Canis lupus familiaris: one gene and its partners. The protein of the gene in region 1 purifies or fractionates together with the protein of each later gene. This does not show direct contact. Links are inferred from orthologs where the notes say so. Each region holds a gene or a part of one and is shown in the gene's direction. Other genes may lie near its edges.

Region 1 (3,500 bases):
TGGTCCATGATACTCTTAATGGGTTTTTTAAATGAAATGATTTGTGGCCTACCTGCCTGGCTTGTTCTTGCTTTTAGAGTGAGAGCAGTGGTATCTTGAAAATGTTTCCATTTGTCACTAAAAGTAAAAATCCATTCTGAATAAATAAGGGATTTTAAGGGTTATACTATCATCTGTTTAAAAATGAATTTTCTGAAAGTCTCAACACATATTATATCTCCATATTCTAAAGGGAGGCATAATTTGTTTTCAGTTTATCTAAATATGAGTGTCAGGGGGCACCTCCCTGACTTAGAGGAGCACTCGACTCTTGATCTTGGGATTGTGATTTTAAGCCCCACATTGGATGTAGAGATTACTTAAGTACATAAAATTTTAAAAAATGAGTGGGCAGGGTTAAATCAGTGGATCTTAACTTGGAGCCTACTTGGAGTGATTACCACCATCTCGGAGAGCCACCATGATGAAAGAAAGTGCACCCATGGTCGCTGGTGCATCAGGCAGAAAAGCGGCTCAGAACCATTTGGCCAGAGCCAGTAGTCAGCACATCTCCTTTATAAAGAACTAGATAATAAAAGGTTTAGGCTTTGTAGGCTTCCATTGCATCTTACTTGGTTTTGTTTGTTTTTATAACCTCCAAAAGTATAAAAACCATTTATGGCTGAGGCTGTACAAAACACCCCTAAGCCAAGCCATTGTTTGCTGAGGCCTGGGCAGCATCTTTAAAGTCATTTTTGGTCTCAAAATTATTTTGAATTTCTCTAACTACAAGTGCGCTTGCAGTAGTAATATGTGAAAATACAGAGGATCTAATTAGAAAGCGGTCTCTTAAATAAGGGTCTCTATATAATAGATTTGAGCATATTTAAAGTTTATGTTGGCCTTTACATATTCCATCAAATTTAGAGAAGCCTTTTATCTTTCTTCTCTTTAGGAGTATAAACCACCAGGAACCCGTAAACTTCATAATATTCTCGGAGTAGAAACAGGAGGACCTGGTGGGCGTCGTGCTGGGGAATCGGGTCATACTGTAGCTGACTACTTGAAGTTCAAAGACCTCATTTTAAGGATGCTTGATTATGACCCCAAAACTCGAATTCAACCTTACTATGCCCTGCAGCACAGTTTTTTCAAGAAAACAGCTGACGAAGGCACCAATACAAGTAATAGTGTGTCCACCAGCCCCGCGATGGAGCAGTCACAGTCCTCGGGCACCACCTCGAGTACATCTTCAAGCTCAGGTCAGTTCTGCTAACTCTACGTTCGGCTTGGAAGTCTCGACTGTTTTCTTTACGAAGGGGGGCGGGGCGGTTATTGTAAAGTCTTTTAAAAATTCGTTGATCGGGATAGGGAGGAATTACTTTTCCTAAATCTACTCTCTGTAGTTAGTAAAAAAATTCACTGCCCCAAAGCTCCAATACTTAACTATGAATAATAAATTGTGCTGGGCAGTGGGAACCAAAACTCTTGATTAACCCAAAATTTTAATTGCTTTGTAAATAGAAATACTTTGTTCATATGCTTGAATTTTCCCCTAATTCAACCAAAACCAAACGATCATGTATCAGCTCAGTGGCTGATGTGAAAGAACTTAGAGGATGGGATAATTTTCTGATACACTTTCAGGTTAATAGAGCTTTTTGTGTGTGATGTACTTTCAGTTTTAGTGTTCCAGTCCTAGAATCTATACTTGAGCATAATTAACTTCAAACTTACAAGTTGTACTGTGTTATGATCCTGAAGGTGGATCGTCGGGGACGAGCAACAGCGGGAGAGCCAGGTCGGATCCAACGCACCAACATCGGCACAGCGGCGGGCACTTCACAGCTGCCGTCCAGGCCATGGACTGTGAGACCCACAGCCCCCAGGTGAGCTTGCTCGCCACTCCTCTGTTATCCGTCCCCTGCCGTGGCCAGGCAGCACAGTGGTGGGTGGTTGTGCCATTTCCCCCAGAGGCTCATGGAAGCTTCCTCACAGGGAATTCTCACCTGTTTGTGACTAAAGAAACATATCTGTGCAATTTTCTACTTCGTTATTTAGAAATAGCTAACATTTCTTGGGTGTGTCCCAGCCACTGTTCCAGTTGTTTTTCCCCAGCAGCATTTTGAGCCTTACACTGTTCGAGTTTTCCTTTTATATTGGGAACTGCACTTGATGGGTTAAATCACTTTTCCTGGCTTGTGATCTTGATTACTGTGCTCTGGCTGCTTCCATGATCTTTTATCACTAATGGTCCTTGATTCAGAGTCAGTATGTGGCTTGAGTTTAACCTCCATGTTGGTTTGGTTTGGTTTGGGTTTGGGATTTTTATTTTTGTTGTTGTTGTCTTTTTGTTTTTGAGGGTTTTTTGTTTGTTCCTTTGTTTTCTAAATTTGTTAAAGAAGAGGCTGTAATTGAGTAATGTTTGTTTTTTTTTTAAATGGGGTGAAACAGATGGTGGTCGTAAAAATATTTATTAAATACTCTGTTAAGTAATAAGTGAGTTGATACTAGGTATTACATTATGGTGTTTTATAATGAGAGGCCAGTCAGTGTATTACTTGATGAGTGAGGTAAAACCGAGGTTGCTGACTGTCATCCCCCATTCTTGTGGCTGGGGCTCCTGAATGCTGCAGGAGAAAACCACTCTTGGTACCATTGTTAATTAGTATTCCCCTGCGCCCTCCCAGCAGGCTTCCCATTCCTCATCACCTCTTGTCTTTCTCGTTCTCTTTAATCTTTGTTTCAGTTGCTGCTTCTACTCTTTGGAGAAACCATTGACCTCCTCTTTGCCCTTGCTCCTTGCTGCATGAGGAGAGTCTTCAGTCAGAAGCACCTCATCCAGCCTATGTGTGTGCTTGTTCACCTCTCTGAGCTTCTCTCTCCTCAGAAGCAGTCTTCCTTCCTGGCTGAGGCCAGCCCCCCCTCCCCCCCTTGACCTCCTGTTTGCTCCTCCTACTTGCTCAGCCTCTGGCTCCTACAGCTTACAGCTTCTCTTCTTCTGCTTGATTTTTCTTCCTTTCAGCATGTGGTCCTCCCCAAGTCTCTCCCATCTGGAGCCGAACCTTTCCCTGGCCTATATCTGGCCCTACATTCTGCTAGTCGGTTGGGGCAGGGTCGTGGGAGCTCTGTTCTACCCCCGAGGAACTCTTTGGTCTGCTCCAGCTGGGCTGCCTACGAGCCCAGGATGCCATTCCTGCAGCGTCAGCTGTGATCGCTGCTGAGGAGGCCAATGGGCATCCAGACGCTTGCCTTTTTTTATTCCTCCCCCACATTTACCGTGTTAGCTCCTCCTTGCCCTCTGAAGTGCTCTCCTCCTTTTTGCCTTGACAGGGTATCTCCTGACATTCCCCCACTTCTCTGGCCTTTCCTTCTTGTCTCTTCTGCATTCTCTTCTGCCCACCCTTACTGATGACTGCGGTACCATCTTTTTCTTTTCTTAAACTTCATTCATTATTCATTCCAAAGAGTGCACACACATGTGTGCTGAGCAAGGGATGGGCAGAGCGATGGGGAGAGGG
Region 2 (4,300 bases), on another chromosome or scaffold:
GGACAATTTAGAAGACTCATAATCTTGCTAAAAAAAAAAAAATAAGGCACAGGGCAGAAAATCACCTTGGCACTTACCCTTTACAGGGCCCAGAATACAGAAGCAGTTAATAGAGATGGCTGGTGGTGAAAGATATAGCTCTCTTAGCTAGTATTAAAAAAAAAAAAAAGCAAAACAAAACAAAAACAAAACAAAAGCAAAACAAAACAAAGCAAAACAAAGCAAAACAAAACAAGCCAACCCTTCGTTCAACATCACCTAAGGGAAGTAATCCATTTTAACCTGATTTCATCTGCATAAAACGAGAGACCCAGAAAGGGAAATTCCTACATAACAGGATATACCATGAGTTCCTCACCTAGCAACTGAGATGTCTTGATTGGACAATTAACTTTCTAAACGTGTTTTCATCATCTACCAAAAAACCCCAAAATTGTAATAGTTCCCTGGCTCACACATTTCGGCGGGGTGGGGGTGGGTAAGGGGAATGGGAAGGAAATCTGAGAGAGCCTCTTATGTGTGTTAGACACACCAACATACATCCATGCATTTAATTCTTTTAGTCATTTTTTTTTTCAGACTAAGGAAATAGATGTTCAGAGATGTGACTTGCCTCGGTACTTAAAACTTAGTGCCAGAGGTAAAATTTAGAATCAAGCCTCTGGATTTCCCAATATGCCACAGGAAAAAAAAAATTATCAGGAAATTTTTCCTTATCAGGAAAAAAAAATTCTGTCAGCCTTCTGAGATTTTCCATCATCTGGTCACCTAAGTAATTATTTCCAGCTAATGCCTTAACTCTAACCGGACTGATCTCACTTCTGCGTCCCTTCCCTTACCAGTCTTTTCTTCTAATTCTACCCATCCTTCAGAATCCAGTTTGTCTCCCTTTTCCCTTCCCTGAAACTTTCCTCATCTTAATCCCAATTTAGTTCCCTCTCCTCTTAATTTTGACGTCACTCATCACGGGCATCACGTAACATCGTAGTGACGTCTTCGGTGTGGACAGCCCTGGTCCAAACCAAGTCTTTGACGGGCGGCAATCCTTCCAAATTTCCTATTTCTCTTTGAGCCGTGCTATATAGGTACTTCTGGAATGAGGAACGAACTAAACTCAAAAAAACACTTCTTGATTAAAGTCAGCCCCAAACTCTCGTGCTTTACCCTCCTGCTTAATCTACCACACACCAATTGATCCGGAGAGCGGGAGCGGCGAGCGGAGACCGTAGTCGGGGCACGTAACGCACCCGGCCCGCTTCAGCAAGCCACGCCCAGGGTCGCCGATTGGGCGTGGCCCAACCTCGGGGGGCCGACTGGGCGTGGCGTGCGTGAGTGAAGGCGTGGCCGAGAGGAGAAAACTGCGCTCTGGATCGGAGTCGGTAATATCCGGGCATTCTCGGTAATTTCCGGCAACGGTCCCCTCCTCCGCCGATCGGCCTCGGGCATTTCCGGCCTCCTTCGGGCTTTTCCGTCTGGCTCCCGCGCCGATCTCTCCACTTCGGGCATTTCCGTGTCCCGCTCGGAGGTACTCGGCAATCGCTCGGCCTCCCCCATCCCCCGGTAACGGTCGCTGGTGAGTTTAAATGAGCCGGGGCTGGCCGGGCCGGAGCCGCTACGGGGGGGGCCTGAGGCACTGCAGAAAGTGGGCCTGAGCCTCAAGGATGACGGTGCTGCAGGAACCCGTCCAGGTAATGATAACGTCGCTCGCTGAGGCTTGGCTCGCAGCCTCGGCCGGGAAGCCGCGTATGGCCACTCCGCGGCCTGGTGCGGCCTAGGCCCGGCTGCTTCTCCCGCCTCCCCTGCTGCCGGGTCCTGCCTGCCTGCTCGTCGGCTCCGAGGCCTCGGCCGCAGCCCGAGCCGTGTTAGCTCAGGTCCTGCGTTGCTTCCCCCCGCGGTGTGAGCGCGGTTCGGCGATAATGTCTCCTTCCCCCGCCGGTCCGTCGTCCGGCCAGCCCCTCCTGTCAGTGCAGGGGCCTGGCCCCGACCCGAGTGAGAGACGAGGAGAGGGGTGGGAGGGGGGGCGGCGGAGACTCGCCCCAGGTGCTCCCTCGCCCAAAGGATGATTGGGAAGCACATCTGATCAGAGGTTGTGCCACCTTCGTAATGGTGGGGCAAATTGGCGGAGGGGCTGTTTGGTTTTGTTTTTGTGCTCTGGGAGAGGGTGGAGGGACTATAGGATCGGTATTTTTAATCCATTTCTGTTTTGGCAACAGACGTCCTAGCCCACGTTGTGCGTTTCTTGCTCAGTGGATTCCACCCCCCCTACACCCCCCTTGGACAATGATCTGGGAAGAGAACTCCAAGGCCCAGTGCTGAGGGGCAAGCACCTCTGGGGGTGGGGGGAAGGGGTGGCAACGGCCAATCTGGGGGTTTCCCCCGTGACCTGTGATGGGGATCAGGAATGTTTTGTTGTGCATGTTGATAAGGCGTTTGGAAAATGAAAGACCGAGCAGGGTTTTTACATCCATTTCACTGTGCTTACGACACCAGGGTATGCTTTGACGCACAGTGCTCTGTTGGCATGGGAGAAACCCTATTGGATTTGAAGTGTGATGCAGTGCCAAGTCATCCGCCGCCCCCCCCCCCCCCCCCCGCCATCTCAAGAAACTGAATCTTTTGTCCCTTCCTGATGGACCAGGTCTGGGAGACTTTCCACTCACCATAGGATCTTTGGTTTGAATAGAAGAGTTGACCTCTACCAACTGCTGTCATTGAGTTATGGGCTTTCTTTATTTTGAAGTTACAAGGCAAATCGATTTTAGAAATCACTTCATATTACCCTTAATAGGCCTGTGATGTCAAATGATAAATATTCTAAATAGATTACCACTTCCGTATTTCCTTAATTTTTCTTTCACAGGATGAAATAGAAATTTCTCCCAGTTGGCTTCTTCTTTACATACAGCTCTTCACATATAGTCGCTCTTGGTATTTGAACTAATATAATGTGGGATTCTCTCTCAGGAAATTTATGTTTGTAAGTTGTATCAATGCTTCCAGAGCTATTTCTTGCCATCGAAATTCATGTTACTGGTGAAGTCTCTTTTAAGATTATTTTTTTGAGGCCTAATGTGGGATTAGAAGTTATCTGTACCTTCTTAAATGGATAAGCAGATCACTCAAGTTGTTTAATTTCTGTTTCATATTCTTGTAATTTTGTCTTAACTAATGATACATTTGCCTTCTCTGGCCCCAGAAGTCTTCTCAAATGATAAACTAGTTTCATTGTTAGCCTATAACCACTATTTAATGACAATTTCAACTTGTATAAAAACATGGAGAAGAAAAGAAATATGTAGCCTATTCCTCCATGTACCCATCAGGTTTACTCTTTTCCTTTCCTCGATGTACCCATCAGGTTTACTCTTTTCCTCGATGTACCACCCATCAGGTTTACTCTTTTTTCCTTAAAGTACTCTTAGTGGTAAGGCACTTCAGGATTTTCAAGGGCTTGAAAGTCAATTTTGTCGTCCCCACCCTCACCCCCCACTACCTTTGTCCATTAGATTTGGGGACTATGACTACAATATGACTACGTGAGAATTTTGGTTGTAATTTATAGTAAAAGAATCCACTCAAGAAAGGATCTGGAGCAGTGGGAGAAAAAAGCCATTTTAGCTATGATGATAAAGATCGACGGATTGGGGATAGGGCTGAAAATGGGAAGAATTAGGGAGAAAATAAAAATAGGACAGATACTGTTTATGTGGTTTTTTAAAACTATGCTAAGTAATTGTACTTGTAAAGGAAGAGTAAGTTGGAAAATTGTTGAAGGAATCATGATATTACTAGGCATAGGAAAAAGTTGAGAGGAAAGATAAGCAACTGTTTTCTGCAGTTTTTTTTCTTTAAAGTTTTACTGTGGAATAGCCAATCTCATAAACCACATAAGCTTAAATATTAGCTCCTTCTCCAAATTGTCTCTCATAGAAAAGCATTACTTTATATAGGAGTCTTTACATACATCTCTTCTATTAGGAGGCAGAAATTCTGTCAATTATTTTTAATATAATTGTTTGGGGAAGACACTAGCCTAAATGACTTCAATTAGTGTTAATTTGGATATTTATAAAACTCACCTGATGAAATTGATGTAAAAAAAAAGACATTAATGGACTTATCAATTATTCCTGGGGGTAGAACTTCACAGAAGTGTCAGATGAAGTAGTAAACAAGGCTTGTAAAAATTGCCTTAATCAGTATAATAAGTGGGTACTATACACATAATACTATTTTAGAGATCATTTAGATAACGAAGGAATACTTTTGATTTGGAATAAGATATACAGGGACAGCATCT
Region 3 (4,106 bases), on another chromosome or scaffold:
TGGTCTATGCCTCATCCAGGGTCTGTAACATTGAATGTCAGCCATGCCTTCCAGATGTACACCACCAGGTCATTCCTACCTCTAAGGATTCTGGTCTACTGGAAGGCCTGGTGTGTTCTCAGAAAATCCTTTAGCTATTTCCATTAGGGGACTTTTGTGAGGTCTCTGTGAATTGGGGATAGAAGGATAGATACGCACTTGCCTGTCTTGCTCCACCCTCCTAGCAGACATCCCCCCCCCACACACACACACACAAAGCACAAATCCGAATGATGGGAGAGGGGAAATTGACACTCCCCCAACCCCACCCCGTACACACACATTCCATTGCACACCTGTCTTAAACTCACATCAAGATTAGCCAAAAGTATGTCTAGAAGTCCCTGGAGCCTAGAAAGCAGTAGGGGATCCCTGGGTCCGGAATAAGGTCCCTGGTAGCCACTGTCCCTGTACCCAACCAGAGTGGATTGAGGCAAATTACCCGGGCTCTTTTTCCAATCGGATATTAATCACCCTGAGAGTTTAGGAAGGGCCTGGCCCAGCTGGGTCCAGCTGGATCTTCAGCCGTGTCTTCAGATTTAGTGTCGTTTTTTCAGCTTTCCAGTCGCTTCTTTACTGCAGGTGAGTTGGAGAAGAGATTAAATTCACTGGACTCCTCCTGTGCAGATACTCTTGCTGCAAGTAAGGCTCAGATACCTGTAGATGACAGTCTGTGCCTTCCCACAGGCTGCCTCGGGTGCCACAGATGGAGCCCTAGGTGCCTTCCTGCAATACAGGGCAACTTCCTGTTTGTGCCTGTGGGTGGAACTTTATGAGTGTAAGGGAAGCCTGGCCATGCTCTGTGGGGGGCCAGAACTGGCAAGTATGCTCACCTGGGTAGGCACCTACTGCGGGGAGGGGGGAAGGGGCTGGCTCTGCTAGGGCAATTCCGACCAGAGGGTGGGGCGGGGTCTGTTTTAGTGAAACCCGAGCCTTCTTTGTCTGCTTCCTAGGGGTTTTCCTTGTTCCTGGGGAATGAGCTGAGAGCCGACCCGGTTTGGCTCCTTACAGGGTAGGGCAGGTGGCAGTAAAGTCCTATCGTCAACTTGGTTAGGCCGGCCAGGTAGTTTAGCTCCCGGTCACGTGCTGTTCGCCCCTTTCCCCAAGTCGAAAACCAAATCCAGAAAGCTGTGAAGTCGGAGGCCAGAGGGGCAACCTGGCCACCACCGAGCTACTGCTGGGCTGGGTACCGGGTCCGCCGTAGAGGGGGTGCTGGGCAGACCACTCCCCTCCCTGGGTCGGGGGCGCGGCCTCAGCCGCCCCGCCCCGCCCCGTTCCACCAGGCCGGGCCCGGCGGGCGCCGGGAGTCCGGAGCCCGGAGCTGGCTGGGAGCCGGCAGATCTGCGGCGGAGAGGTGCCGGCGCTCGGGCAGGAGCTGGGCGGGAGCGGCAGCGGCAGCGGCAGCGGCGGCGCAGGTGGCCTGGGTGAGTGGTGGGGCCGCGGAGGTGTGGGCACTCCGGCCTCCCGCACATGCCGGGTCGGGAGCGAACTTTCCCGGTCTGGGGAAGCTAGGGGGTGGAGTGAGGAGAGGGTCCCACACTGGGGTCCGGGGGGCCCGCAGGCGAGGAGCCTGAACAGGGAACCGACACGGAAACTCACGCCAGTGGGTGCACACGCGCGCGCGCCGAGACCCACGCACATAGGACACACGTGCACTCAGGAGAGGACGCGCCCAGTGGGTTACCCTTGCAGTCCCTGGAGCGGCGCCACTGGCCCGCACGGAGCCCCAGCTGACAGGGTGCTCTGCTGTCCCGTACTTGGCAGGGGTGGGAGAAGGGGCTGCCCGGTGACCGCCGACGGGGGCGGGCCGGGTGGGACACCTCCGGAGGTTCCTGCTTCCTGGCCGCCCACAGGTGAAGACTAAGACGTAAACAGGCGCCGAGCACGTGATCGCTTCGCAGACGAGTGGGCTGTGCTTCCCTCGCCCCCGCATCAGGGCGAGGACCTCCCTCCCCAACCCTGGGCGAGTCTCCGAGGTCTCCTGTCGGGCCGTATTCCATTCTCCGCCTCAAGAAATGTTAAGCCTTCCCCCTGAAATGGGAGCACAACGCCCCCTGGAGTCCGGGTAGCGCAGGCCTGGAGACTCTTGGGCTCGGTGGGGTTACCTGGGCTCCTTGCCTTCCTTCACCCGAACGAACACGTTCGTGGGGCCCTCATCCCGGAAGGTATCGGAGGAGGGCGCTATTTCGGGTGGCAGTATACGGCAGCTCCGGCCCCATACCTCCAGTCTGGGGAGCAGCTGCCTGAGAGCCGGTGGGTCCCTTTCCTACCACCACCCCTCCTTGCAGAACTGGGAGCTCCTCCCTTCAACTGTAGGAGCCGAAAACCCACTCGTGCGAGAGTGGGAGTCCTCCTTTCCCAGAGAATGCATAAAGGTAAATGTCCTCGAAGTACGGGAGTGGGCCTATCCCCCTCCCCTAGAAGGGAGGATGAGCCCCCTCCCCCAGGGAATGAGGGAGTGGGCAGCGGCCCTCGCCTCCCTCTCTGCCCCACCCTCCACCCCTACACACACGCTGAGCCCAGCTGCTGCCTGAGCTTCCGGGCTGGCTGCCAGAAAGGGGAGGAGGCTCCTGGTGCCCCAAGAGGCTGGGATCAGGGCAAGGCCAGAGGAGGGGGTCTCTACTGGGGAGGGGGGCTCAGTCTATTCTTATGTGGCTCAGGGTCTGGGGTGAGCCTGAGGGTGGTTGGGCTATGCCTCCCTTTCCAGGGAAAAAGAAAGAAAAACAACCCTTTCCATAGAGCTAAAAATAGAGCTGAGAGCTGGCCAGGGCTGTGGCCTGGAAGGGGGGGATGCTCCTTCCTGGGGCAGAGGAGCTCTGGCAGGCCTTGGCCTTGGGGGTGGGGATGCAAGTAGGGGGTGGGAGGCCTGTCCTTGGCTGGGGGTGTGGGCATCAGCTGACCTGACCAGAGACCCCTCAGGGGGGAAAAAAGTCTTTGTGGTAAAAAATGCTCGTGAAACACCATGGGTATGTGTAAGTTGTCTGACTGAATGAGACCACCAATGTGTTAAAGATGTTTAGGAGAGGAAGCCCATTTAAGATTGTGACTCGGTAGGAAGGACTCTGAGTCCTTGTGAAAGATTGTGCACAAGGTGTGTGACACCCAGTGTGTCTGTGTGTAAGTTGGCCTGAAAGATTATGGAAGGAAGGAACCTGGAATCACGTGATGGAGGAGACTGTGATTGTGGCTGCGTGGGACCGAATGTGGGAAAAGTCGTGTGGGTGTTAGGAAGATTGTGTTGTTTGCGAGAGGGTGAGACTCTCTGTGACCCTGAGAAGACCGAGGGATGTTGTCAGCTGTGGGACTGGTGTAGGTTCTGACTGTAGGTTTGGACCGCCTCACCCCAGTGATTGTCAGGGGGCCAGGGGCTGCCTCTCTCCCAGCAGTGACCTCTCTTAGCAAATGATTCTCAGGGAAGGTTGGGGAGCAGACGGCCGCGCGCGAGGCAGGCCTGGGCTCGCGGGGGGCAGGCTACAGTGCTGGGCAGTCCGGTAGGGGCCCCCAAAGTTGCTGGGGTGGCGGTGTATCCTGCGAACGCGCCGCCTGGTGGCGCCGCCTCCGCAAATCCGAATCTGCCTCCCTCCACCGCTGGGGGTGGGGCAGGCACGGCCCGAGCCCGGGTCCGCGACCCGGCCCTGGGGAGCAGGGGCCCGGCGGCCGGGGCGGGTGGGGGGGCCGGCCCTCCGCGCCCCGCTCGGGACTCCGAAGCCGGAGTGTGTCTTGCGGGGGAGGCTTCGACCGGAGGAGCGGAGGGGGAAGGGCGGCCGCCGTGGCGCCGGGCCCTTTGTGCTGGAACAATGACCAGCTGCCGCTGGCCCCGGGGCCCGGGTAGGGGTGGAGGGTGACCCGCCGCCGCCGCCGAGTCCCCGAGCCCACCGGGCGTGGGGGGTCCCGAGGCCCGCGGCGCGGCCCCGCGTGACGCGGGGTGCTGCGCGTGTCCGCGCCGGGGCGGGGACGCCCCTCGGACCCCTCCCCCGCGCTGCGCCGCCCACTCGGGCCGGACGGGGGCCGGTCGGGCCGGGGGCGCCGCGGAGGCGGGGCCGGGCCGGGCCGGGCCGGGCGCCTCC

The links. Proteins that work in one complex are often made in the same cells at the same time.
Region 2: the proteins of DYRK1A (region 1) and CDC27 purify together in Homo sapiens (affinity purification with mass spectrometry; 3 studies listed by BioGRID and IntAct, with this or other methods). This does not show direct contact. The link is inferred for Canis lupus familiaris from reciprocal best matches to the Homo sapiens genes DYRK1A and CDC27.
Region 3: the proteins of DYRK1A (region 1) and LZTS2 purify together in Homo sapiens (affinity purification with mass spectrometry; 8 studies listed by BioGRID and IntAct, counting the BioPlex papers as one, with this or other methods). This does not show direct contact. The link is inferred for Canis lupus familiaris from reciprocal best matches to the Homo sapiens genes DYRK1A and LZTS2.

What each region holds. Positions count from the first base shown.
Region 1 is NC_049252.1:32,322,102-32,325,601, forward strand, and holds part of DYRK1A (dual specificity tyrosine-phosphorylation-regulated kinase 1A), read left to right. Parts: intron 1-934; coding exon 935-1,241; intron 1,242-1,743; coding exon 1,744-1,868; intron 1,869-3,500. UniProt on the Homo sapiens protein: Dual-specificity kinase which possesses both serine/threonine and tyrosine kinase activities. Exhibits a substrate preference for proline at position P+1 and arginine at position P-3.
Region 2 is NC_049230.1:17,584,116-17,588,415, reverse strand, and holds the start of CDC27 (cell division cycle protein 27 homolog), read left to right. Parts: upstream 1-1,500; 5' UTR 1,501-1,661; coding exon 1,662-1,688; intron 1,689-4,300. UniProt on the Homo sapiens protein: Component of the anaphase promoting complex/cyclosome (APC/C), a cell cycle-regulated E3 ubiquitin ligase that controls progression through mitosis and the G1 phase of the cell cycle.
Region 3 is NC_049249.1:13,868,816-13,872,921, forward strand, and holds the start of LZTS2 (leucine zipper putative tumor suppressor 2), read left to right. Parts: upstream 1-1,306; 5' UTR 1,307-1,463; intron 1,464-1,892; exon of another isoform or gene 1,893-2,414; intron 2,415-3,510; coding exon of another isoform or gene 3,511-4,106. Other genes in the region: proline-rich protein HaeIII subfamily 1-like, read right to left, coding at 3,511-4,106. UniProt on the Homo sapiens protein: Negative regulator of katanin-mediated microtubule severing and release from the centrosome. Required for central spindle formation and the completion of cytokinesis.